Cricetulus griseus: one gene and its partners. The protein of the gene in region 6 interacts with the protein of the main gene of each other region in a pairwise test. Links are inferred from orthologs where the notes say so. Each region holds a gene or a part of one and is shown on either strand. Other genes may lie near its edges.

What was found.
Region 1: the proteins of Rel (region 6) and doublesex- and mab-3-related transcription factor 3 interact in binary tests that used the Homo sapiens proteins (3 or more experiments, as listed by UniProt). The two-hybrid records come from large-scale screens. The link is inferred for Cricetulus griseus from reciprocal best matches to the Homo sapiens genes REL and DMRT3.
Region 2: the proteins of Rel (region 6) and Otub2 interact in binary tests that used the Homo sapiens proteins (3 or more experiments, as listed by UniProt). The two-hybrid records come from large-scale screens. The link is inferred for Cricetulus griseus from reciprocal best matches to the Homo sapiens genes REL and OTUB2.
Region 3: the proteins of Rel (region 6) and Cggbp1 interact in binary tests that used the Homo sapiens proteins (3 or more experiments, as listed by UniProt). The link is inferred for Cricetulus griseus from reciprocal best matches to the Homo sapiens genes REL and CGGBP1.
Region 4: the proteins of Rel (region 6) and Pih1d2 interact in binary tests that used the Homo sapiens proteins (3 or more experiments, as listed by UniProt). The two-hybrid records come from large-scale screens. The link is inferred for Cricetulus griseus from reciprocal best matches to the Homo sapiens genes REL and PIH1D2.
Region 5: the proteins of Rel (region 6) and Glyctk interact in binary tests that used the Homo sapiens proteins (3 or more experiments, as listed by UniProt). The two-hybrid records come from large-scale screens. The link is inferred for Cricetulus griseus from reciprocal best matches to the Homo sapiens genes REL and GLYCTK.
Region 7: the proteins of Rel (region 6) and Eif4ebp1 interact in binary tests that used the Homo sapiens proteins (3 or more experiments, as listed by UniProt). The two-hybrid records come from large-scale screens. The link is inferred for Cricetulus griseus from reciprocal best matches to the Homo sapiens genes REL and EIF4EBP1.

The regions. Positions count from the first base shown.
Region 1 is NC_048596.1:35,690,677-35,694,935, forward strand, and holds the start of doublesex- and mab-3-related transcription factor 3, read right to left. Parts: upstream 2,801-4,259; coding exon 2,338-2,800; intron 1-2,337. UniProt on the Homo sapiens protein: Probable transcription factor that plays a role in configuring the spinal circuits controlling stride in vertebrates.
Region 2 is NC_048598.1:102,678,348-102,681,847, forward strand, and holds part of Otub2 (ubiquitin thioesterase OTUB2), read right to left. Parts: coding exon 3,453-3,500; intron 3,081-3,452; coding exon 2,886-3,080; intron 1,912-2,885; coding exon 1,705-1,911; 3' UTR 1-1,704. UniProt on the Homo sapiens protein: Hydrolase that can remove conjugated ubiquitin from proteins in vitro and may therefore play an important regulatory role at the level of protein turnover by preventing degradation.
Region 3 is NC_048597.1:28,615,514-28,618,061, forward strand, and holds part of Cggbp1 (CGG triplet repeat-binding protein 1), read right to left. Parts: intron 1,851-2,548; exon of another isoform or gene 1,848-1,850; 5' UTR 1,831-1,847; coding exon 1,327-1,830; 3' UTR 1-1,326. UniProt on the Homo sapiens protein: Binds to nonmethylated 5'-d(CGG)(n)-3' trinucleotide repeats in the FMR1 promoter. May play a role in regulating FMR1 promoter.
Region 4 is NC_048597.1:162,383,639-162,387,890, reverse strand, and holds the start of Pih1d2 (PIH1 domain-containing protein 2), read right to left. Parts: upstream 2,801-4,252; 5' UTR 2,663-2,800; intron 1,731-2,662; 5' UTR 1,703-1,730; coding exon 1,526-1,702; intron 538-1,525; coding exon 414-537; intron 1-413.
Region 5 is NC_048597.1:214,362,164-214,366,140, reverse strand, and holds the start of Glyctk (glycerate kinase), read left to right. Parts: upstream 1-1,177; 5' UTR 1,178-1,315; intron 1,316-3,580; 5' UTR 3,581-3,619; coding exon 3,620-3,977.
Region 6 is NW_023276807.1:83,034,704-83,038,203, forward strand, and holds part of Rel (proto-oncogene c-Rel), read left to right. Parts: intron 1-1,094; coding exon 1,095-1,861; 3' UTR 1,862-3,500. UniProt on the Homo sapiens protein: Proto-oncogene that may play a role in differentiation and lymphopoiesis.
Region 7 is NW_023276807.1:56,580,683-56,583,285, forward strand, and holds part of Eif4ebp1 (eukaryotic translation initiation factor 4E-binding protein 1), read right to left. Parts: intron 294-2,603; coding exon 114-293; intron 1-113. UniProt on the Homo sapiens protein: Repressor of translation initiation that regulates EIF4E activity by preventing its assembly into the eIF4F complex: hypophosphorylated form competes with EIF4G1/EIF4G3 and strongly binds to EIF4E, leading to repress translation.

The DNA of each region.
Region 1 (4,259 bases), on a different chromosome or scaffold from region 6:
CTACCTCTAAAAATGCATGGCATGTCACACACAAATACTCTGCACAAAAGTACGGGAACACAGCAACAGGCGGTCTTAGCCAGGAGTTTTAATTTGACTGCCCCATTTTAATGTTACTTTAATTAATTTTAGTGTTGGCTCCCGACAGAGTTGCTTTTTATATGTGTTGCATAGAACCAGCCCACTTATTTATTTGTGTTTGTAGTGGAAAATTATAATCAGTTTATAAACCTCTCCCAAGCTTTTTTTCTTAAGGGACTGCAATTGATAAACGAAAACAAAAGTTAGTGAATGTTCAAGGTACATAGTTGTGGCCAGCTGGGAACTGAACCCTTGGTCCCTCACAGCTTAGTCTCTGGAAGTCATTCTTCTACCTTTTCCCCCTCCCAATTAATTGTTCTCAATTTGGAAGGCTCCAGCTATCCCTGAGTATTTGGTGGAAGCAGAGGGAGAGAAAACAAGCCCCAAGTCTGGTTTGTGCAGTTGAAATTCTTTGCCCCCTTTTATTCTCCTAAAGCTTGAACCCCGCTGTTGCTTCAGCTTGGCCCCCTAGTGCCTTTGCCCAATTCTTTCTCAGCTTGTTTTAGGTTTTGTGACTATACATTTTGGAGACCAATCTGAGGAGGACCATACGATGCTGAAGGAACCCCTCTTGAACAAAGACCATGGAACTCAAGGTTCCTGCACTACAGGAGGCACTGGTGGGCAGATGGGCATTGCAAAATGCAGAATTGAATTGTAACTCATCCTTCTGCTCTACCCTGGAAGACTCTAGTCCTAGAGCCAGGGAAACTGGAATGGAAAATTAAAAGATAGTAGCATGGAGTCACTTCTAGAACTGAGGTCAAACTCTCCTACTTGTTCTCACCTGAAGGAATCCTTCTAGACTCTCCAAGGCAAATCCACAAATAAGAGGCGATGAGGGGGCGGTGCTACAGAGAAATGCTTATATTCCCCTTATAGTTAAATATCCACAAAACCCGGTCAGCAACCTGCTTTCCGAACTTCAGGCCTAAATACCCTAACTGAGCCAGAAGGCGGGACTGGCCTACCATTTCACCACACATCAGGGAGTGTATATCTTCAGCAGTTGAGCTCAGCACTCTGGGGCTCTAGAAAACCTTTCTGAAGAAGATCTAGCTGTCTTTGAGGAGCTGAGGAAGTGGTAGCAGCAGCTCTATCAACAGAAAAACTGTGGGCCTTTCACTTTTAATTTCAGTACACCGGTTCAGAGGAGATGGGCTTGTTGCCTTTGTACGTTTACCCAGTGAGGGGAAACACCAGACTCAAGTCCACTGAATTCCCACTGCTGAGAGGGGCACGCAGAGAAGCCAGCGGTTCCCTTCTGAGGAAAGTGGGGAAGAGGCTTAAACTGGGGGCAGCCAGACTCAGGAAGGAGCCAGGGTGACAGAATTAGGTAGAAACTGGGGTCTGCGTACTTTCAGGGCTCAGACCACCACCACCACCACCACGCCCCAAATAAAAGCATTTCTGAGAGTAAAAGAGAACAGAGGGAAGCAAGAAGGCCCAAAAAGCTTTCCCTTGTTTCACAGCAGGCCGAGCCTGCCTAAACCTGGAAAAGTACTTGTTAAGTTTTCCCCAAGGTAGGCCAAGTTTTATTTTTAATTTCTTCAAATCACAGCAACTTGGGGAAAGGAATTAAAGGACCAAAGAGGTAATTCAACAAAAAGAGTTAGCTGGTCTCGCTTTGACGACTTCAGGAACCTTTTATCTACAGTTTCTACAGTTCTTAAAAGGCGACTTTTTTTCTTTTTCTTTTTGTTTTTTTTGTTTGTTTGTTTGTTTTTTTACCGAATTTTAAGTCAAGTCTTCAACCCAGCTACAATGTCCGAGCTCCTTTAAGTTAAAGATGTCGCCTTTTTGCTCCCGTGTCCCGGGCCAAGCCAAGATTCACCTAGAAACAGCAAAGCACTTGGGCCCTAACTGCTAACCCTCACCTATTTATCCCTACCCCTAAATGAGAGCCCCCCTAAAACCCGCCTCATCATGGTGCATTTAAAAGCGGTCCCTCCCCAGATTTCGTTTTACAAATAGTTTGTAGAATTGACGTTAAGTTTCCCCTTCAGCCCAGAGAAGGCACCAGGAGACAGGGACATACAGCCTGGATATTTGGCCGGCTCCTGGGTTCCACCTGCATCGGGTTCAGACTCTGTAAGAGACTCACTTTTCCCGGAGAGTAAGAGTCAGTGTCTGCTGGGGATGTAGGCCCAATCAGGTCAACTTCCTACAAACGTGCCCTCGCCTTCCAAACGGATCCCCAAGGGCACTCGAAGTTTCCTCCTTCGAGGCTGACCCCAGCCTAGCAGACGCTCTCACCTGGCTTGGCGAGCTGCGCGGGCAGCGTTCCGGGCTGGGGCTCCGCGGTGGTCCAGCGCAGCGCGGCAGCTGCAGCCAACTCGGCGGCGGGACGAGGCGGCGCCGGCGGCTGGGACGGCTGGGAGGCTGGCGACGACTGCGAGGCGGCGGCAGCGGCGTCCCCCGGCGGCGGGGGCCCCGGCAGAGCCCGCAGCGAGTCCGGGATGAGGCTCTCCAGGCTCTCGTTGGCCTGTTGCCGGCGAAGGGCCACCTGAGCCGCCATCACCCGCTGCCGCTCGATGATCAGGATGCATTTCTCGCAGGTGCAGTCCTTGAAGCGACAGTAGCGCTTGTGGCCCTTGAGCCAGGACAGCACCCCGTGGTTCCGGCAGCGCGCGCACTTAGGCGTGCGCTGCAGGGGCGCCCGCGGTGGCTGCGACACCGGGCCGCCCATGTACAGGTAGGGGGAGCCGTAGCCGTTCATGCCCGGGGCTCCCCCCGGCCGGCGGCAGGAGCAGGGAGGCAGTAGCTGGACCGCAGAGCTGGGAGGCCTGCTCCCGGGGGTCTCGGAAGATCGGCGGCAGCCGGAGGTACCGCAGCGGTCTCCCCGGCCCCGGAGGCGCTCGCAGCCTGAACCGCCTGGCTGGTGGCACGCGGGCCGCGTCTCTGTCTGCTGCCCCTGAGGGCGCAAGCTCCACCCGCTGGTCCTCCTTAGCCCAGACTCTCCAGCCGCTGCAAGGAGCCGGTGAGAGCTCTGATTAAGGTCTGAGCCAGCTCCTCTGCTGTTCCCTTCCTCTCTGGCAGGAGCCCGCACCTCCTCCGTCGCCCTCCCCCACCCTGTCCCTCCTCCCTCCCATCGCCACCCCCACCCCCGGGGTCCCAGCCTCCAAACACTCCCCACACACTCTTTCCTCCTCCCTAGCACCCCTCGGGTTCCTGCACCTCACCTTCTTCGCCACCTGCAGCCAACCGGGCCTCTCTGGCGGGGGCGCTCACAGCCCCCCTCCTCCATGCCCACCACTACCCTTTCCCGAGGCGGGAGGGACTGAGCCGCAGCGGCACACCCGGCTTGCTGGACGGGGGAGGGGTTGGGGGGGGGATAGCGGGAGGGGTGGGTACTTGTAAGCAGGCAGGCAGGCCTCTCCGCTACCGACTCACCGAGCTCCAGGCCTGGTCTGGAAGCACGGAGTCCTAGACCCACACTTGGCCTCAGCAATTCGGAGCTTGCAAGGGAATTGAGGGTGCACGGCAGGTCGGCCCCAGGCGGACCAGGTTTCAAGTACCCGACAAGAGGAGTGAGAGGAGTAGTGATGGTTCGGAAATTTGGGGGACTCTTTTCTTCATTTCGTTTTGCAATCTGGTTTCTCTTTCGTTGCTGCAGAAGAAAATTAATTTTTAAAAAAATCTGTCAAGCTTAAGGAAGACAACTCGTTTGATTGGGTAATTTTAATTTCCTACCACCTCATTCTGTCTTTAAAATAAACAACCACCTCTGCCCTAAAAGACCTCTGCCTTGGAAGGCCTGGAAGTGCTCTCTCGGATGTTTCCCTTAAACATGGTTTAACTTTCCGGGAGCGGAGGTAGAAGACACATTAGTGGCCCCCAAGTTACCCAGCATGATCTACTTGTTCCCGCAACGGTCACTGAATCAACAACCAAGCTCCGGAATTGCCCAGTTCAAATCCCCACAGGCACTGTGATTTATTTTCGGATAAGGGATGGATCCTACTCATTAAAAAAAAAAAAAAATTCTTTGAGAGTGGGAAGAGGCTCGTGTATAAGATGGCCGCATAAACCTTTTTCTTCTTGATAGCATCAACTTTGTTTACTATTCTTTGCTTGTTTAAAGTTTGTCTAATACCGGCTACCACTACATTCGTACAGAGAAAGCTGCCTTCTCCCACCCCACCAAGAAAACAACCAAACAAAACACAAGGTACATC
Region 2 (3,500 bases), on a different chromosome or scaffold from region 6:
GTCACTCAGAAAGTGGGCGTGCTAGCATGATTTGTTGCTGTAGCCTAGCCAGTAAATCGCTGTGGTCAGCCAGGTTTTAGCATGTTCCCAAGTTCCCATTGTCCTGTTCCCAGACCCATCTGAACTCCTTGGAGCAGCCCAGGCAGGCATCCTATGTTCATACATTCAGCTTGGAAGTGAAGAATAGTCTGGCTGAAGATAGTCACGGAAATAAGTGCCTGCTCTTCCAGGGTACTTGTCATAGTCACAAACACTCTTACCCAGATCAGGGTGGGACACTTAACAAAAGATGAAGGTCAGATTTATATACTCTGTGTCAGTGACAGACTCAGTAGCTGGGGCCCTTGGATCTAAATGTTGGCCTTGGTTTCCACACTGCCCAGACATCTGGGAGTTTTTGGCTTACACCAAGCAGAAGAAAAGATACAGATGTGAGATTTAAGACTTGGATCCTTCTGGTCCTGTGTGCAGACTGTTGGCAGACCCTCACTGTAGCACCACAAGTCTTAAGCCCTGCAGAATGAAACATTGAGAGGGAACCTTGCACCCAAGGAAGGGTACTAGTGGGTGGTTCCATGGCTGTCCTACAGAGGAAGGCATGGCTAGTTAGTGCCTCAGGCCAGCTGGAGGCTGATTGTCCCCCAGTGTCCTCGGGTGGCAGCAAGGCGAGTAAGGGGCTGTTAAGGGGCATGTGCAGACGAAGAGGCTGCTGCCAGCATTGGGACCGTCCCTGCTGCCAACTTGTATGGCTTGTCTGTTCTTTTATGCCTAGCTGCCTACAAAGTTGGGCTGGGGAAAACTGAAGAGCCTTGCAGACCCTGTGCTCTGCTCTTCCTGTTTCCAGGCTGTACACACCCCTACCCAGCTGACTACCTAGACCCTACTTCTAGAATTCACTGGAGATGATGGGCGGGCAGATGCAGCTCCCCAGTCCCAGACATAAACACTGACTCAGGTACAAGCCCTCGGCTTTGTCAAGCCTTATCCAAGTGGGGCTGACAGCCAAACTCTGAAGGGCCTGTCTTCAAAGTCAAGAGCTGTGGCCCTGAGGCAGAAGGACTTCACAACCTGAGCTTCATGCTGAAGGCTAAAACCCTTTTCTGACTTTGGTATAAAAGTCTCTCATGTTTTCTCTCCCCCACTCCCTCTCCCCCCACCCCCCAATGGATGGGAAAGCACAGCCATCATGAAGGAAACTCCACACAAGCCCCTCACATTCAGACAGTTGTCTACCATTACACACCCAACATACATAGCAGGGCTGGACTCTTCATAGGTCTGGTGAGTCACCTGAATTTGACAGCTGACCTGAGTTTTTTTTTTTTTTTTTTCCCCCCCTATGAAGGCTACTGTCCCTGTTAAGGATAAACCGGATTTCCCCATTTTTACACAGCGGCATGTCAACACTGCCAGGAACCTCTTCCAGATAAATAAATAGGTCCAACGAGGTTCTTACAGTAAACGGATACATAGGGTTCCTGGCTTTCTGGTCCAGAGTTAGCAGGCATTACATCATCTATCAAAATAAATACTAAAATTCCTATTAAGTCATGACAGTCCATAGTGGGCACAGGTCTCAGTTCAGTGGCTTTACCCAAAAGGCTGTATGTTTCTAGTTGTCTAAATCAATTAAAAAATTGCCAAGGCAGAATGTTCCATTCAGAATGCAGTCCATTAGATGACAGGCTCCGGCATGGCCTAAAATTAGTGTTTTTCGGCTGCATAAAGGATGTTGTAGTGGGATGTTTTATAGAGCAGATAAACGGAAGGGGTGGCAGCCTCAGGGAACACGTGGTGGTTCAGAGCTGTGTCCATCTCATCCACATACTCCACCTGCAGAGCAATGTTCAGTGCCTGCGACAGAGCTGTGATCTGGACGTGGTCACACTCCATGGCCATGGGCTCCACTTCCTGCAATGCCAAAATGAAACACTTAGGAGGGGCGCGGGGAGGGTGAGTGAAACCCTGGCTCTCAGGATCATGGTCTCCTGTGCTGGGGGTGGGGTGGGGGGGTTCTTCCCAAGCACATGTGAGCGCAGGTGCTGATAACCATCTGTCATGGAAGCAACACAGAGACTACAGGGCTTGCAGAAAATGAACCTGAACCTATTTTTTTTTTTTTTGGTTTTTCGAGACAGGGTTTCTCTGTGTAGCTTTGGAGCCTATCCTGGCACTCGCTCTGGAGACCAGGCTGGCCTCGAACTCATAGAGATCTGCCTGCCTCTGCCTCTCGAGTGCTGGGATTAAAGGTGTGCCGCAAACCTGAGCCATTTTTATTCCATACCCTTTAAGGAATGTGCAAAAGGGGAGGAATCTTTTAGGCTAGCATCAGAACTTAGAACTAAGAGGACCTTGTCATCAAAGGCTTCCAAGTATAAGTGCTTGGCAGTGGCCAGAGCCTGTGTGTGAGTCCTGCTGCTGTAGAGACAACAGAGAGGCAGAGATGGTGGCAGGTACCCCAAAGAGGGCAGCTGTTCTTGTGCCTACTGGTAGTCGCCGTCCAACTTAGGGCCCAGTACCTCCTAATTAAAAAAAAAAAAAATCCAAGTAGCCATAATTGTCCACTTCCTTACATGTGGGCCACTCCTTCAGATAAATATTATCTAAACAAAAGCCCATCTTAGGGTTAGCATGACAGGAGCTGCCACTCAGCTGCTTATCAGCAGAGCAGTCCTGAGATTCCAGATAGGCGATTCCCTGGGAATACAAGCTGCTTGCTCAAGCCTCGGCGCTCAGGCCACTCATGGAAGATGCCTCCAGGTGCTAACCTTGCTAGCTGACATTGCAAGGATGTTCCTCTGGGCAGAAACAGTGGTCCTGGGATGTGTAAGAGACAGACAAGCAAAGCCTAGGCCAGGGGCTACAGGACGACCCTAGGGACATACATGAGTGCAGAAGTCTTTGATGTCCATCTCCTCATCAATGAAATGTCGGAAGAAGTCAGCTCGGTTCCTGATGAAGGCCGATGTGAGCAGGCGCAAGAACTGCACGATCCGGTCCGAGCAGCACTGGTCATTGAACACCTTCAGCAGGCTGGACACCGAGCTGTCCTTCTCTACCAGCTCTACCACACTGTAAAACTTCACGCTGCCACCATCAGAATAGACCCCAGCAAGCACCTGTCCCCCACACCCCACCCCACACACGACTTCCTCAGAGCTCATTTTGAGATTGCAAGTCTTAGTGTTGAGGCTCCGAGGCACATCTAGGGGCCTGGCATTGAGTCTCCTTCTACCATATATTCAGAATGGCAGAACGATGCTGACAGTCCTCCAAACTGAGGTCCCCTTGACCCATATACCCCCAAGCAGCAGGGAATGGCCTTGCCCCAGCCCCAGGTGGGAGGACTAAGAACAAAGCTGCACAGCTGTGGGTGGATCGAAGACCTCCAGCCTGCCTGCTCCTGTCTGCTCTGCCCTTGTGGAAGGCCAGTATGGCTCAGGTGAACTCACAGCATTAAAGAAGTTTCTGAACTTGTGTTCCTCAAAGCCAGCAGCCAG
Region 3 (2,548 bases), on a different chromosome or scaffold from region 6:
GATAACTCCAAGTCACACAGGGCATCTTGCCACTGATTTACAATAGAAATATAACTTCAATGTTTTCAACTATGTGATTTTTTTATTTTTATATTAAAGCTCTAACTAAGTCTCAGTTACTAAACTTTTAAAAAATATAATTTGGATCTGATGAAGAGGACTTATCTGAGCTAAATTACTTCTAATAAGCTTACAGAACAGTAAAGTTCAGAGAACCTAAACATGGTTGACCTTTAACAGAACTGATTTTTTTTCTGACTCCAACAGCTAAGCAGCATCCTGCTTATCTGTACTACAAAAGTCTTGCCCCATTTTCTAACTGTTTAGCATCTAAGTCTTAAAACCTATATCACCAGAGGCAAAGCAATAAAAGTCAAACTAAAACTCATTTCTAGTCTATTTACCTAAAAAAAACTCTTATAAAATCTTATGGAAAAATTAATGTATAGAAAGCAATTTTATTTGCTGTCAGCCAAAAAGTAACTACTAATTCCCTGTTAAAAGAGGAAACTGAACCACAGAGTTATTTAAATGAAAAAAAAAAAAAAAAATCAGTCCTGTAGTCTTTTAATACCAAGGCATAAATCCAAGATGGTATTTAACATGAAAACTATGGTTCAAAATTTGTGTTCATAGTTCGAGACTAAAATCTTATCACTGCAAAATCCCCCATGGCTTTTGGCAAAGACATTAAGAGAGACTTTAGTCTTTTGGTCATTGAAGCTGCTACTAAGTACAAGTCTTTAAAAAGGTGAAGAAGATGGTGAGGAAGTGAAGGTTAGGCAATTATTTCACATACAAATAAAATGTAGTTTGAACAGTTATTTCTCCTAGAGATCGCAAGCTCTAAGATTTCCCGCCTTCCATTCTATTTTGAAGAGAACTCAAACTTCTTTAAGTTCCTGTGATGGGCATAGCCTGGCAGCAGCTTCAATTTTCTAGGCTAGTTCTCAACCCAAACAATTAAGCAACCTCACAAGAAATAATCATACATGGCAACAGGGCTACAATTCAGGGTAGTTAGTTCTTCCATGCACAAACATTTCAGGAGAAAACCCATCAGTTTTAAAGATAACCACCAGGATTCAGATATCCTAATACACTCTACAGCTAAGTTTTGCTTTATATCATCGATGACTAAAATTAGCAATAAGTTTTGCAGTGAGGTTTTTTTTTTCTTTTGCCTGCAACTATATACACATTGCAAAACTACTCTGTATCACATGATTTTAAATGAAATAAATATAAAAATGAACCACACAATCAACACATTAACTTTAATACTCCACATTATTTATCTTGATCACAATGGTCATAACTGCCTTGTCAACAATCTTGTGAGTTGAGGAGCTGATTTTCATTCTCATATCCATCAGGCAGATAGGCTCTCCTCAGCTGGTCTGACTTAGGTATGGATCCTCCGTTCTTCACATGTCGAGACAGGAATGCTCGGACTGCTGGGTGATCAGCCTTCTCCAGGGGGATGTTGGCTTCCAGGCACATTTTCACAAAGTCCTGGATAACACTGACTTTCTCTGTTTGCGCAGTACTGTTGCACTGAAGAGATGCAGTAAGCGGCCTCTGCTTCTTTCTCACATTCTGCTCTTCAAATTCTGCCTTCCTCTTGGTGTGAGTCTTTGATTTGAGGTGGTCACTAATGGCAGACTTGCGAACATGATTCAGAACCACATTGCAAGAAGTGCAGAAGAGTTTTCCCCCATCTTCATGAAGCTCACCTCCAAATTCAGTGACTCGGTCCAGAGGGGTCACATACAGAGCAGTCTTAGAACGGTTCCGAGCAGGTGGTGCTGTTACTACAAAACGTTCCATTTTGACTGAGTAAGGCTCTTCTAAGACAAAAGAAAGATATAACGTTAGTGCTATGACAACAGCAAATTCTAGAAGTGATTAACAATAAAAGGTAGGGTTGTAAATGCTTTTTTAAGAGTAAAGATTTGAAGAAAACCAATCCCCCAATTCCAAACTTAATTCACTGATCCCTAGCATTCCCCAAAACTCTTTAATTCAATTTGGTAGGTTGAGGTCTTTTAAATCTGTATCTGAAATATTCAAGGAAGGGAAAGCTAAAACAAATTAGCAGCAAACAGCTAGGTCAATTCCTTGTGGTATATGCCTATGTGCACATCTTAATTTTTTGAATAGCTTCTCTAACTGTACCCAGAACTGGGATTACAGATACATACTGCTGGGACCAGCTTTTACACAGATGCTGGGGATCTGAACTCAGGCCCAAAGACTTGTACAGGAAGTACTACACCTACTTACTACGCTAACTTCCCAACACTCTGGCTTTTATGACAAACTAGATTTCTAAGTAACTTAAATTATTCTAGACATTGCTATCTTTTAAAAAACCCCAATAACAGTAAACAGTTAGACTATTAATAATACTAATATCGTGTAGGGAGACACCATAATCACGCCTCTACGGGTCATTTGGCAATAATATCACCCAAGTAAGATGTGTTCAAGTTAAAGAGCTTCTTGCTAGGAAACGGATTTTGAGACCTCAACTATGTACGAACTT
Region 4 (4,252 bases), on a different chromosome or scaffold from region 6:
AGACAATTGTGAACTGCCATGTGGGTGCTGGGAACTGAACTCAGGACCTCTGGAAGTGCAGCCAGTGCTCTTAACTGCTGAGCCATCTCTCCAGCCCCAACAGACTGATTCTTAACTGTCTCAGAGAGAGCTGCAGGGAGGCAAGGCCTGATTCAGGCTATAGGATCTGGCCTATAGACGCAGGCCTCTGTTCTAACACATCGTATACACTAAATTCCAATTCCATGTTGGCATTTCTATGTGGGTTGAAAGCAGATCATATTATTAGAAATCATATTAAATGTGCATAAAGTACACTAATTTGTTAATTAAGTAAAATTAAATATTTTACTTAAAATCTTTTACCAAGTAAAATCTGGTCTATGAATATGTTCAATAAAAAAATCATGCATGCATTCTTTAATTCTTTATACCTGATGCCTCAGAGATATCTTCTGGTCTGCCAACATATACAGGTACAGGATGAGTGGCTGACTGGGGAGCCATGATCCTTTTCCATTGACATAGGTTGACAAAAAGTATTTTTTCTTTTGGTTTCTAGGAAGTAAATAATTTTGATATTGTCAAATGGCTTTTTTAAAATAAAATTTGGTAATATTCCAAATGCAAGTCATCACATTTTTTTTCAGGCCTTCCCAAATGCTAGGCAACTGTCCTTGAAATGCACTCTCTGGAACCCACACATAAAATGTAATGAAACTGTTTTTTAAAAACTTAATTCATGCTTCCCCCTCCAACGCCCCGACCTCTCCTGAGAACCCTCATCCAGTGGCTGTTGGAAGCAGAGGCAGACACCCACAGCTATACACTGAACTGAACTCTGAAACCCAGTTGCAGAGAGGGAGGAATGAAGATCAAAGGGGTCGGAACCAGGCTGGTGAAACCCACAGAAACATCTGGCCTGAACAAGAGGGAGCACATGGACCCCAGACTGCTGTCTGAGAGGCCAGCATGGGACTGATCCAGACCCCTGAATGTGGATGTCAACGAGGAGGCCTCGGCACTCTTTGGGGCCCCTGGTAGTGGATCAGTAGTATTTTTCCCTGGTGTAAGAAGGGACTTTGAGAACCCATCCCATATGAAGGGATACTCTCTCAGCCTGAACACATGGGGAAGGGCCTAGGCCCAACCCAGCATGATGTGTTGGACTTTGGGGAGCCCCATTGGAAGGCCCTACCATCCCTGGGGAGCGGAGGGGGGATGTGGTGAGGGGCTGGGGGGGCTGGGGGAGGGGAGAGAGAGGGAGAAGGGATTGACATGTGAAGCAAGCTTGTTCCTAATTTGAACTAATAAAAATATTAATTCAGTATATCACTATTTTTCTACAGGGCAATAAGGCCTCATTTGCATATTTCTGTATTTCTCATTTTTACTCCTTCAGTGAAACCTTCCACACTGTTTCAGTTTCTGTTTAGAGAGGCAATTTTAATAAACTTCTCTTGTGTTAAAGTAGCACTAGAGAAGGGTAAGGTATCTTGGAGTAGTTTCATTGAACACAGATCATCATTGCGCCAATTCTACCTACTAGGATCTTGGTCTGTAGGCAGAATTGTGGTTCTGGGTCCACACAGAGCTTTTTTCCATCTTTTAGCTCCTGTTCAATAAAGTTCTTGTAGCGCTCAGGATCATTTTCAGCCAAATCGTCGAGCATATTCCAGAACTGGGAAATCTGGGTGAGAAGGCCCTTTGAGGATGCCCTCATGATTGGTGATGAGATAGGCCTCCAGAACCTGTGGAAAGACACGACTTGAGAAAATACATGTCTGTGTGGCTATGGCCTTACTTCCTCTTTCAGGAGAGGAGGGGGCTTTTGTTTTGGGGAAGCTCTTTACTGTTCTTACTTCCTATGTCTAAAAGATTGTGTAACCACTCTGCTTTACCTTGGCTCTTCTACAGCCTGTAAGTCTAACCACTTCCTAAATTCCCACCTTGTACCTGTACCTCTCTCTGGCCTTCACAAACACAGTGGGAACAGAAAGGTCTTTTTAAGTCTTGTTTTTCCTATTGATATTGTTCCAATAGTTGAATATTGGCTGACTTGGTGTCTCCCAGCCCTGAAATTATGAGTGGTGTGTGTGTATGTATGTGTGTAAGAGGGAGAGGGGAGGGAGAAAGAAAGAAACAGAGGCACATTAGTCCTTAGTATAATAACTAAAAGTAGGAACACTGAGCTGGGCAGTGGTGCATACCTTTAATGCCAGCACTCTGGAGGCAGAGGCAGGTGGATCTATGTACGTTCGAGGCCAGACTGGTATACAGAGCAAGTTCCAGGACAGGAAGGGTTACATATTGAGACCTTGTCTCAAAAAAACTGGGAGTGGGGGGTGTGAGGTGTAGGGTCACTGGAGCCAGTATGCTTAAGTTCTTCCTAACTACAGGCAGCTATATTGCATTGAGCAAATAATGTATATATATACACCTATTCTTCTCAAAATGAAGACGAGGCCTAAGAACGCCAATACTTAAAGCGGGAACACTTGATAAATATTATGTACGAGTAGTATTCTAAGATCGTATCATCACTCTCCTCCCGCAACGGAGAAGTGTCCCAAACGGTCCACAAAAATATTTAAAAAAGAGATTTAGAGTCTTTAAATCGTGCATTAAGATTAGATTTAATAAACAAAGAATACACAACTTATCCCAGTGTGGGGAAACCCACCTCTTCAGTCAGTGTCTAGACAAACCGCGACTCCCGTTACCATGGTAACCAGGTCCGGTACAGCATCTAACTGTGTCCGGGGAGTGCAAAGTAGAACGCCGGCTCCATATCCCGTTCCGGATCTTTTCTCCAGCGCCGGACTGGCTCCTCAGAGGGGCCGTCCCGCTCCCTCTCAGGAGGGTGCCGGCTTCCTTCCTGCACCTGTCAGCTTCCCCGGAGACCCGTGAGCCCGCTCACAGGGAGTCTCCCGTGGGGAGGAAGCGTTTCTCGGGGGCACGACTTCCGGCCCGGAAGGAAGCCGCCGCCTTTTCTCCCACCCCGCCACGCGAAGCTGCGGCGCACGGTATGGGTGTGTTTGTGTGTGTTTGTGTGGGGAGGGCGTTTCGAGGGAAGGCTGCCGGGAGCGCCGAGGCCGCGGCGGGGCAGGGAGCCCGCTGACAGACATGGGGGTGTTTTTTCCGACTTCCCCTTGGAAACCTCCAGCTTCCCCTCAGGCACCCTAGACACTTCCCGGGTCCCAACGGAAGGCCACGTCCATGCCCTGTGTCCCCATTCTGTCCCGGGAGTGAAACCGAGCCGCCGGGCGCTGTCCCAGCCCAGCGAGAGCGGGGAATGCCCGGGCCCGCCCGCAGGCCGCGTTCCGCGCCTGCGCCCGCTCTGGCCTTGGTCCCGGAGAGAGAGCCGCCTGGCGGGCTCGGCTGGGGGAAGGCAGCCGTAGCCTGGGCCTCGGGTGAGGGCACTGTAACCGGTGGGAAGGCTGCGTTTTCACGAAGGACTCGGGTGAAGCTGCAGAGCTGCCTTTCAGCCCTGACTCCTTGGCTTCCTGGGTCGGAGGAGATCTTGTAATGGAGTGGTTCTTCGTCTCACACTAACAAGATGCCTGATTTCCTCAGGATCGAGGGGTGAGTGAGCATCCGGACGGTGGCACCAAGCCCCTCGTAGCTACACATGTGAATATCTTTGTCTTCTGGGTTTCGGAAAGTTCCAAACATTGTAGGAAACAAAATGTCCTGAATAGAGATATTTAGGTCATTAATTTTTTTTTTTTTAGAACTCAGTATTTATTGCTGTTGACATATGTGATGTTGATACCCGCAGATCTAGATGTTTGCTTAGTTGCAAACTGATTTTGGGGAGTTTGAGATTTGATTTCTAACTTGGATACTGATATACATCCTTTGCCTGGGTCTATTCGCCCTGGGGCCGAGGGACTTAAAGGATCTTGACTTTCAAAATAGGAGTGGGGATAGAGTCTAAATTCGGGAATCCCTACAGGTTCAAATAACAGCCAACTGAAAATGTTTGGGTAATCAGATTGCATCTGTACTTATCATGTACAGACCTTTTCCCCCCTTTGTCATTATTTCTGATCTGCATAGTAACATTTTTACATAAGAGTTGCATAGTTTTAGGTGTTAATAAGTAAGCTAGATACCCTACCCACCCTAAGTGTGGAAGTGCATGTATGTTGTCTCTGAATGTGGGAGGTGGAGGCAAGAGGATCAGGAGGATCAAGGCTCACTGAGGCTAGGGGAGACCCTGTCTCAATAAAAAGTCATAATTTAAAACACACAGGAGTGTAGTTTATAT
Region 5 (3,977 bases), on a different chromosome or scaffold from region 6:
ACCCAAGTTTAAATACACCATTGCCATTCCCAAACTATTCACAAGATGCATTTGACAGGAAGACGACTAAGTCCACTGGACTGTAAACTCCTGAATGGTATTGAGTTGATTTGAAACTGGAATTTCCCTGTCCCCCCCATTCTTCCTTCTTTTTAAGATTTATTTTTATGTACATTAGTGTTTTTTGCTTGCATGTATGTCTGTGTGCAGGTACCATATCCTTTGGAACTGGAGTTACAGGCAGTTGTAAGCAGCCATATGGGTGCTAGGAATTGAACCCAGGTCCTTTGGAAGAGCAGTCAGTGCTCGTAACTGTTGAGCCATCTCTCCAGCCCCACAACCAGTGAGTGCGCTTAACTACTGGACCATGCCTCAGCTCCTGTCTTTCTTCTTCTTCTTCCTCTTTTTTCTTTTTAAAGATATTTTTGAGACAGGATCCCACTGGGTTACCCAGACTGACATGGAACAGCATTGTCTTCAGTTGCAAAATGGAAGGGATTTCCTAACAGGAAAAGAGATATTGCTGAGTGGAAGAACTGTCAGGAAGCAAGATTCAGAGTAGCAGGTGAATAGGTGATTAAGCTTCTCAATTACACAGTAGTACATGCCTGCAATTTTAGTACTCAGGAGGCTGAGTAAGAGGATCATAAACTTGAAGAAATATAGCCTAGGCTACACAGTGTGTCCGTGTGTGTGTGTGGTGGGGGGCAGGGCAAAAAACAAAACAAAACAAAACAAAACTTTTTAAGGAAACATGTTTGAAGAAATTCTTTCCATCAGAAAAAGTGTACTCATGTTTTTGGAGTTCAGCCAATAGTTATTTTTGACTGGGTCATAGTGGACACAAGGTAGGGAGGTTAGCACTTGTTGTGTTCAAAGATCATGGAACAGAAATCTTTCGCTGAATTAGCTGTATATGGTAGCTCACGGAAGTGTGGTAAACATCAATGCATTGTCATGGAATTTAACTATGCGGAGGGGCAAGGACGACCTTAAACTCTCTAGAGGGGTGGGTTGCAGCTCTCTGATGGTTCAGCCCGGTGTCTGGCATCTAACAGGAATTCGGGGTGTACTTAATGACTGATTTTTATCTAACAGGACGAAGAGGGAAGGATCATTACAAACCACCGAGAATCCACTGCAGGAATACAGAAACCGGAGGGCTCCATACACCTCTTTTCAGGTTTTCTGGCGGTCAGAGAGGCAAAGCTCTAATCCACGAACCTGGTCTCCAGGAGTCCCGACCTGCCATTTCCGGGTTAATCCCCACCCACCCAGAATGTTTCCGGTCTTCAGCGCTGGAAGCGGCAGAAAGGTAAGCTTGCGTCTCAAGGGCGTACACGGACCTTGGAAGTCATTCCTGGCCCAGACGGAGGCGAATCCAAGCGAAAGCAGTCCTTTAATTTTTGCGACACCCAACACTGCGCGGCAATCATTTTCCTTGCGAAGATTACAGGCCTCGGGCAACGTCACTTCCGGTCATCTGGCCGTTGGCCAAATCCGGAGGTGATGTCAGCTCCACTTCGTTTCGGGAGGAGTCAAGGCTGCTCTTCGCACTTCCTCTTTTAGCAGCCCGAGTGCGCCGCAGCTGGGAAGGTGTAGTGTCTTAAATAGAGTTGGGGATTTGACAGCTGAAAATGCAAGTCGTCCAATTAAATTTAAGCTCACCACAATGTAATTTTTAGTTACAAATAATCCCAAATGTACTGATCATATTTATACTAGAAAAATTACTTATTGGAAATAGAGATTTCACCAAATGCCCAGCATTTTATCTGGCAGTTTTGGCCTTGAGCTTTCCTTCGTCCTGGATTCTAATAGAGATCCTCTAGGCTTTTGCTGCTCTGTGAGATAGACAAAGTTCACCTAGGGCTGAGTATTGTATGTTTTAGACGCTAAGATGCTCCAAGCCTTGGGGATGGATGGATCCCTTGCATGAAAACCGGGCATGTTTACAGACATCCCATGGCCGGTGCCCTTTGTATTCTTTTTCACAATACGTCTAGTTTTTTTTCTTTTTCTTTTTCTTCTTTAAAAACTAGCTGTGAACTATACCGCTAAACGGCACAGGTCTCTGGAAGTTGCACGGTATTTAGGAGTGAATAAATTGTTACCCACAGTTTTCTCTGTTGCATTGGACAGAGCATCAGAAAGCCTGAGGTGTCAGGCAAACAGGAGTATCAGCCCTCCACCGCCATGGAGGATTCCATGACTTCATGCATGATAGACATGATCTCTCCCACAGAACAACACTTTTCAAGTTCCCTGAAAGAATTAGGCTTAATTTCATCCCACCTCTCATCTTGCAAATGAGAAAAGATACATTACACTTAAAAAAAAAAAAACCCAAAACAAAAACCCCAACATCCCAGTTCCTAGACTACTTCCTCTTCTATCCACGCTTACTGATACAGTTGTCTTTCAGCACAATGGTAGGCATTTATTATAGTATCTTTTTTAGGGGCTTTAATGTGTCTCAGTGATATGGTAGAGTGCATACTTGTCACATACAAAACCTGGGTTCAGTCTCCAGTATCTCTCTGTCCCCAAATTTAGATACCTTTTTACAGATGAGTCCTTTGGCTTCATTGTCCCCTGTATTTACCCTGTATAGCTTCCTGACCTTTACCCCAAGACCTCTCTGTTTTTCACTCTGCCCAATAGGGAAAATGATTGTTTGGGCATAGTTAGGAGCCTGGCCTTTGCCTGCTCCAGCACTGGGCTGTTTCTGCACTGAGTGGTGTAACTCAGGGCTTGTTTTGCTATCACGCAGCCAGGAAGGGGTGTTCCTGGCAAGGCTGACCCTGACCAGCTGTGTGGGTAGAGGGACATCTTTTCCTGTGCTGTAGATTGAGCTCAATAGCAATGTCCTCTTGCATATGACCCGAGGACTTGTCAAACAGTCTCACCTTGAGTCAGATTTTGTAGCTACTCCTGATTTGTGCCTGGACCTCTCATTGAACTGGTCTGTGTGCTGAGAATCCTCAGGTTGTGTGCACTGATAAGCCTGCAGCCTTTCTGCATAGACCCAGCATTCCCAGAATAGTCTTATAGCTAATGAAATAGATCAGGCTAGAGGTCAGTGGGCTTGGGGTCAGTTGGTGAGACAACCAACAGCCCCCCCTCTCTGTCAGCAGTAAAAGGGGTGAAAAGGTAGGGCAGATATGCCAGAAAGGGGCACTGCCTTGGTGTGAGGACTTGGAAGTAGAGTGTGTGGAAAAAGAGTGTGGTTCAGGAGACCACTGGGAGGAATAGCTTTCTTTGTGAATGATTAACTCCCAGCCAAAGGGTGACCCAGGAGGAGGGTCCACTTCATAGGAACTTTGGACTTGGGGCAGAGTGTCTAGAAGACTGGTGTGTGGCCTACAGAAGAGGAGGACGTGACTGGGCGTCAGGGCTGGGCTTGCAGAACTGGAGTAAGATCAGGTTTGCTGCAGGCTTCAGGAGTTCTTCAGCTTTCATTTCAGGTGGCTCATTCTTGCAGCAATGGCTATGGAGTCCACCAGCCCTAAGCTCTCAGAGGGGTGGCCATGATGGTGGGATTCTGTCTGCGGTCTCACTCATTCTCCTCCCTCTCTAGGCAGCTATGAACACAAGGCTATTCTGAAAGAAGTGGGGCATGGCTGCAGCCCTACAGGTCTTGCCCTCTCTTCTCCGAGCCCCGTCACGTCCATTCTTCTGGGGGCCCCCGGTGGCCCGGATGTCCAGTGGTATGGCTTTGGCAGAGCAGGCACGGCAGCTGTTTGAGAGTGCTGTGGGCGCTGTGCAGCCAGGTCCCATGCTGCAAAGGGCACTGTCCTTGGATCCTAGTGGCAAACAGCTGAAGGTGCGGGACCGGAGCTTCCAGCTACGAGAAAACCTCTACCTAGTGGGCTTCGGCAAGGCTGTGCTGGGCATGGCAGCTGCAGCTGAGGAGCTGCTGGGCCAGCATCTTGTGCAGGGTGTGATCAGCGTTCCCAAGGGGATCCGGGCTGCTA
Region 6 (3,500 bases):
TCTTGATCCACAGGCAGCAGAAGCAACTGGGTGTCACACTGGGTGTAGCTTGAGCATATTAGACTTCACAGCCCACTCCCACAGTGACACACTTCTCCAACAAGGCCATACCCACTCCAACAAAGCCACACCTCTTAATACCTCTCACTATGAGCCAAGTATTCAAAATGTATGAGTCTATGGGGCCATACCTATTCAAACCACCACAACTAGTAATTTTACTAATTGCACTGTATCATGGAAGAAATGATGTGGATATAGTAGGCACTTGTTTATAATAAGTTTCACTTGAACATAACTGCATTCCTTTGTTACATAATGTCTCTTGTTGCCTTTTTAATAGTGCTGCAGTAGGACTTCATGCATGCTGACCATGACACAGTCCATGCCAGACCTAGACTCCCTTTTTTTTTTCTTCTACTGCAACAACAGAGCTGAATAATTCCAGTGGAGGCTGCTCACCCCACGAATCTTAAAACTATCTGGCCTTTGATAGAAGATATTTTATGAGCCCCTGACAAATTTTCCATCTCCTTTCCTTAAATTTATCCTGGTTATCCTGGTTTAACCTGGTTTATCCTGGTTCACATAGTACTTGTGTAATATGTCAATAAATAAGTTTTTATGATAGGGAATTTTATAGTAGTTTAGGGTCATATCTTAGTCTTAGTAACTGTATTTTTCAGTTTTTTCTAATGAATGTCTTCTCCATCTCTCCATTTTCTCCTGAAAGTAGAGACTATAACATGATGTAGGCCGTTGGATACCTATTTCCTGAAATTCCAATATTTATCTTCTATGTTTTAAAATGCACCTATATGACTCAAGAAGCTGTATTTTCATATTTAACTAGAAGAAAATTACATATACCAAGATAACTTTTAAAAATCATTTTCATGTGTTTATAAAGCAATTTACATGTTATGAATTTAGTTTTGATTTCATGTAATAATTTCTGTGCTTTAATTTTTTTTTATTTGAAATGTATCAGTTCCCTGGAAATTTTTTAGTGTGTTTTTATAATCTCAATTCAGAAATAATGCTTTACATTTATTTGTTCATCTTAATTTATAAAATACATTTTTCTTCTATAGAATCAAACTTGTTTTCTCATGGTACACCTATGCCAGAAATGCCCAGGCCTTCAGGAGTTTCAAGTCAAACTGAACCCTACTATTCTTCATCTGTGCCCATCTCAAGTGGATTGCCACATCACCCACCAGCCATAGCCTCAGTGGTCTCTCCACCTTCAAGCTGGTCATCAGTGAGCCACCCCACCTCACACTCAGCCAATACAAACACATTGAGTAGTTTCTCAACAGGAACACTTCCCTCTAATTCACAAAGTATCCTTCCGTTCCTAGAAGGGTCTAGTGTGAGTGATTTAAGTGCTTCTAATGCTTGCCTTTATACTGATGACCTAGCTAGAATGGAAGCGTTATCCATGTCACCAGCTGACTTATATGGTATTTCTGATGTCAACATGCTATCTAATCGCCCTGTGAATGTGATGACAACCAGCAATGATAACATGGGGGACACTGATAATCCAAGACTTATGAGCATCAATCTTGAAAATGCCTCATGTAATTCAAGGTTAGACCAAAGAGACCTGAGACAACTACATCAGATGTCTTCTGCCAATATGTCAGCAGGCACCAGTTCTAATTCTGTTTTTGTTGCACAGTCAGATGCATTTGATAGATCAAACTTCAATTGTGTAGAAAATGGCCTGATAAATGAGCCTGGACCATCAAATGATGCAAATAGTCATAATTTTGTTCCGAGCAGTCAATATTCAAGTATTGACACTCTGCAAAGTGAGCAATTGAGTGATTCCTTTGCATATGGTTTTCTTTAAATGTAACCTGTAGGATTTAAATCTAAAAAAAAACTATTAAAACTTTAGGTGTATAGAATATAAAGGGAACATTCAAAATTAGAAACTTAAAGAGCTGTACTGTTTTTTACTTTGAGAGATGCCTAAAGTACATGTGCTTGGTGTGAACTGTTCTTTCAAGTTTCCTCAAGACAAGCTGTGTGTCTTTTGTAATGTATTAATGTACTAGTTAAATGAATTGATATTTGCTTTCAAGCAGATTTAAGGTAAAACATGTAATGGCTATGCCATTGTGAAATAAACTCATTATTGTTGAGGCCCATAGGCCAAAGTGACCCCTATGGGGTTTTTGGGGGCTTCTTGGTATTTTTAGGTAGGTGTGTGTGTGTGTGTGTGTGTGTGTGTGTGTGTGTGAGAGAGAGAGAGAGAGAGAGAAGAGAGAGAGAGAGAGAGAGAGAGAGAGAGAGAGAGAGATTTCAAGGGATGGAAGGTTTTTTTTTTCTATTTTCTATTATTTAGACTCATACTTCTAAAGTTACTTAAGAAATTAGTTGTATATCTGTATTTTCAAGAAAAAGATATTTTCTTGAGCCTTTCTGTATTAGATTCCCTTAATATTACAAGTTCAAGGTCTGCCTGGGCTACATAGTCAGTTCAATACCAGCTTTCAGTTTATGAAAATCTTGTCTCTAAGATAAAAAAGGCTAAGGTTGTGACTCAGTGGTAGACTTTGCTTAATGTTTCCAAGACCTTATGTTCAACCCCCTGTAGAAGGAAAAAGAAAAAATAACAAGATTTAAGTTTTAGGTCAATATGTTGAAGCCTGAGTTTTGAACTTATCCCCTAGACTTGCTTGTCCTTCAGTCTCACCAGCCCTGGAAATTGTCATGCCGTGCTTCTAGCTGCTTAGGTAAAAACCTTGATGTCGCCCTTGATTCATCTCCTAAATCTGTCAATACATCAGCAAATCTAGAAGATCTTTCCTCAATATTTATTTGAAGTTAACCACCTCTTTTGAACTCTTGGTTGAGACAGGGTTTCACATCTCTCAAGTTGGCTTCAAACCTGCTATGTAGTCAAAGATGGCCTTGACCTTCAGATTCTCCTGCTTCTGCCTTAGAAGTGCTAGGATTACAAATGTGCACCACCACACCAAGTTTATGTAGTTTCTGGGGTATCAGTGATAGGGCTTTGCTTAGAGAAGTGCCTACCAATTGAGCTCCATGTCCAGATCAGACTAATTGTAGTAATTTTGTATTAGTTGGCACTGATAAACTCAGACACAACAGTTTTCCTCTAAGTTGAACTAAGGTACATCTACATCTGTGTTTAGCATATTTTCAAATGGTGATTTATTTTTGGGTACTGTTTACTGATCACAGAACTCATTTTATAACTTAAAATGTGTTCAGCCATGTTTTCCCCCTTTCTCCCTAATTGCATTTGTATTTCACTTGGTTTTGAGGGAATGGGCCTTCCTACCCAAACTCCACCTTGTGCACTACATCTTTCCTCCATTGCCAGTGTCCTTATGTCCCTACTTAGTTCATGATTTCATTGTGTAAACAGAACAAATATCTTTTTGGGATTAAAAGGAAAGGGTGAAAACATCCCACAAAGTAACAAACCCTACCCATACCATGCCCCTTCTTTTCACTCC
Region 7 (2,603 bases), about 26 Mb from region 6:
TGCCCCACCCTCTAGGCTCCCCACTATCGCCCCCGTCCCTGAAACTTGGAATTTCTCAGAGAAAACGGACAAGCTTCCTCCCCTCACAGGGCCTGGACGGGTCCAGTACTCACCGCCTGCCCGCTTATCTTCCGGGCTGCTATGCAGATGGCTCTGACTGGTTTGCATAGGAGGCTCATCACTGGTCGGGCTAGTGACCCCAGGAATAGCTGGCAGGTCCTTCGGGGGTGTTTTGGCCACAGGTGAGTTCCGACACTCCATCAGGAATTTCCGGTCATAGATGATCCTGGTTCCTGGTGGGGGAAACATAATAAAGAGGTTAATAGGGTCACCCAGAACCCCCTGCCTGTTGTCTTTTCCACTTCCTGGAAGTATGGCCATAGCAGAGGTAACAGGTTCCTTTATACAACCCTAGATCAAGGGTAGTAAGGCTGACCAAGGGACCTGACCAACCTGGTCACAGCCCTACTCCACTGCCCACTCCAACACCACTTGGGGTGCCCCTCCCTCACAGAGTGCTTATTGGCTACCAAGACGCACCTTTGTTTTCTCAGAGCTCTGAACATCCTATGCAATCTCTACAGACCCCCCCAGCTCCTCCTGTCAACTACACATGACAAGGAGATCCCACAGAAAGGGGGGCCTTGTAGTCATCACACCCTAACCTGCAGAACCCCAGTAGGTGGCTCATCCAGAACAGACAGTGGATCACGCCCAGCATCAGGAGACTTCTCCCTGCCCAGTCTTTGCAGAAACAGGAAACACTCTATATACTCCAAAAAGGTCTTAGGCTGGGCCCTTCTCCAAACCTCCACTATATCTACCCGCATCACCCCTGTAAGGGCTGACATGAAGGCCATCCTCCTACCCAGCCTCCTATCACAAGTTAATCTTATTCCCCAGTGAGGGCCAATCTCCGTGAACTGTTCTCCATCAGTAAACCATACTCAGAACCCTTCACCTCCACCCTCGCAGCTTCCCAAACACCATATAAGGGAGCATTTCCCAAAGTAAAGGAGCAAGACCATTATGGGTGTGGTGGTTTGAATGGGAATGGCCCCCACAGACCCATGTGTTTGAATGCTTGGCCCATGGAGAGAGGCACTATTAGGAGGTGTGGCCTTTGGAGGAAGTGAGTCACTGTAGGGGCAGGACTCGAGGTCTCGTATGCTCAAGCTACACCCAGTATGCACACAGGTCTCTTCTGCTGCCTACAGATCAAGATGTAGAACTCTTAGCTACCTCTCCAGCACCATGTCTGCCTGAACACTGCCATGTCCCACCGTGATGATAATGGACTGAACCTCTGCACCGTAAGCCAGCCCCAAGTAAATGTTTTCCTTTATAAAAGTTGCCTTGGTCAGGCAGATCTCTTTGAGTTTGAGGCCAGCCTGGTCCACAAAGGGAGTTCCAGGACAGGCTTCAAAGCTACACAGAGAAACCCTATCTCAGAAGAAAGAAAGAAAGAAAGAAAGAAAGAAAGAAAGAAAGAAAGAAAGAAAGAAAGAAAGAAAGAAAGAAAGAAAGAGTTGTTGTTGTCATGTTGTCTGTTCATAGCAATAAAAACCCTAACTAAGACAATGGGAGACCCATGAGGTGAGAGTAAGCAGACGAACTTATCCATGGCTCCCTGCGGCCTCAAACACAGCAGCATGGCATCAATGGTTTATTTTTAACCCCTCAACAGCACATACTGAATGCCTCCTTTTCAGCCAATCTCAAGTCTTAGGTTCCAAGCCTCTAGCAGACAATGGCATCCAGCTGGAATTTAAAAACTGTCTTTACATTTCTATTTATAGTTATCATCTGCAGATGACAAATCTGGTTTCTCAAATGCAGTAGTGGCATCCAGTTTCTTCTTAATAGAGACTATATGTCATAAATTGCATATTATATAATGCTATATACCACACATAATAAAAAATAAATTAAGGGCTAGCTGGGTGGTTCAGCTGGCAAAGGCACCCACCTGCCACCAAGCCTTATGACCTGAGTTCAAAACCAGGAATCCACATGATAGGAGAGAACCAACACCCACAAGTTGTCTTCTGACCCCCATATGCATGCTGGGGTATACATACACATACACACACACACACACACACACACACACACACACACACACACCTATATTCACTCACTCACCCTCCCTCCCTCTCTCAATAAATAATTTTTTAATTCAATCAATTTGGGCTTGAGATTAGGACAGAACTACTGACAGCCCCTGAAATGTCCACACACGTGCTGCTGCCACTTGTCCCACTTATTTAAACAAATGCCTTTCTTGGCTTGGATGATGGTTTGGTGCTACCTGGAGAAGGATCTACGAATACTCTTGTTTTTAAATGAGTAAGTATACAGTAAGCCAAAGTAAAAGAATAAATAGCTAGAGAGAGACGGGTAGACACAAACATTATTAAATCAGCCAAATGTTCAGCAGAAATTGACTTTAAGGCAGCTAGCTGGCATTCCCAACAGAGTCACAGCTGAAGCAGAGGAAACATCATCAAACCAGATGTTCATGACATCCAGCAAAAACCAACTAGGGAAGTTGAGGCAGGCCGCTGGAGTTCCTGACTGAGCTTCCTCTCCACAGAGGAGAT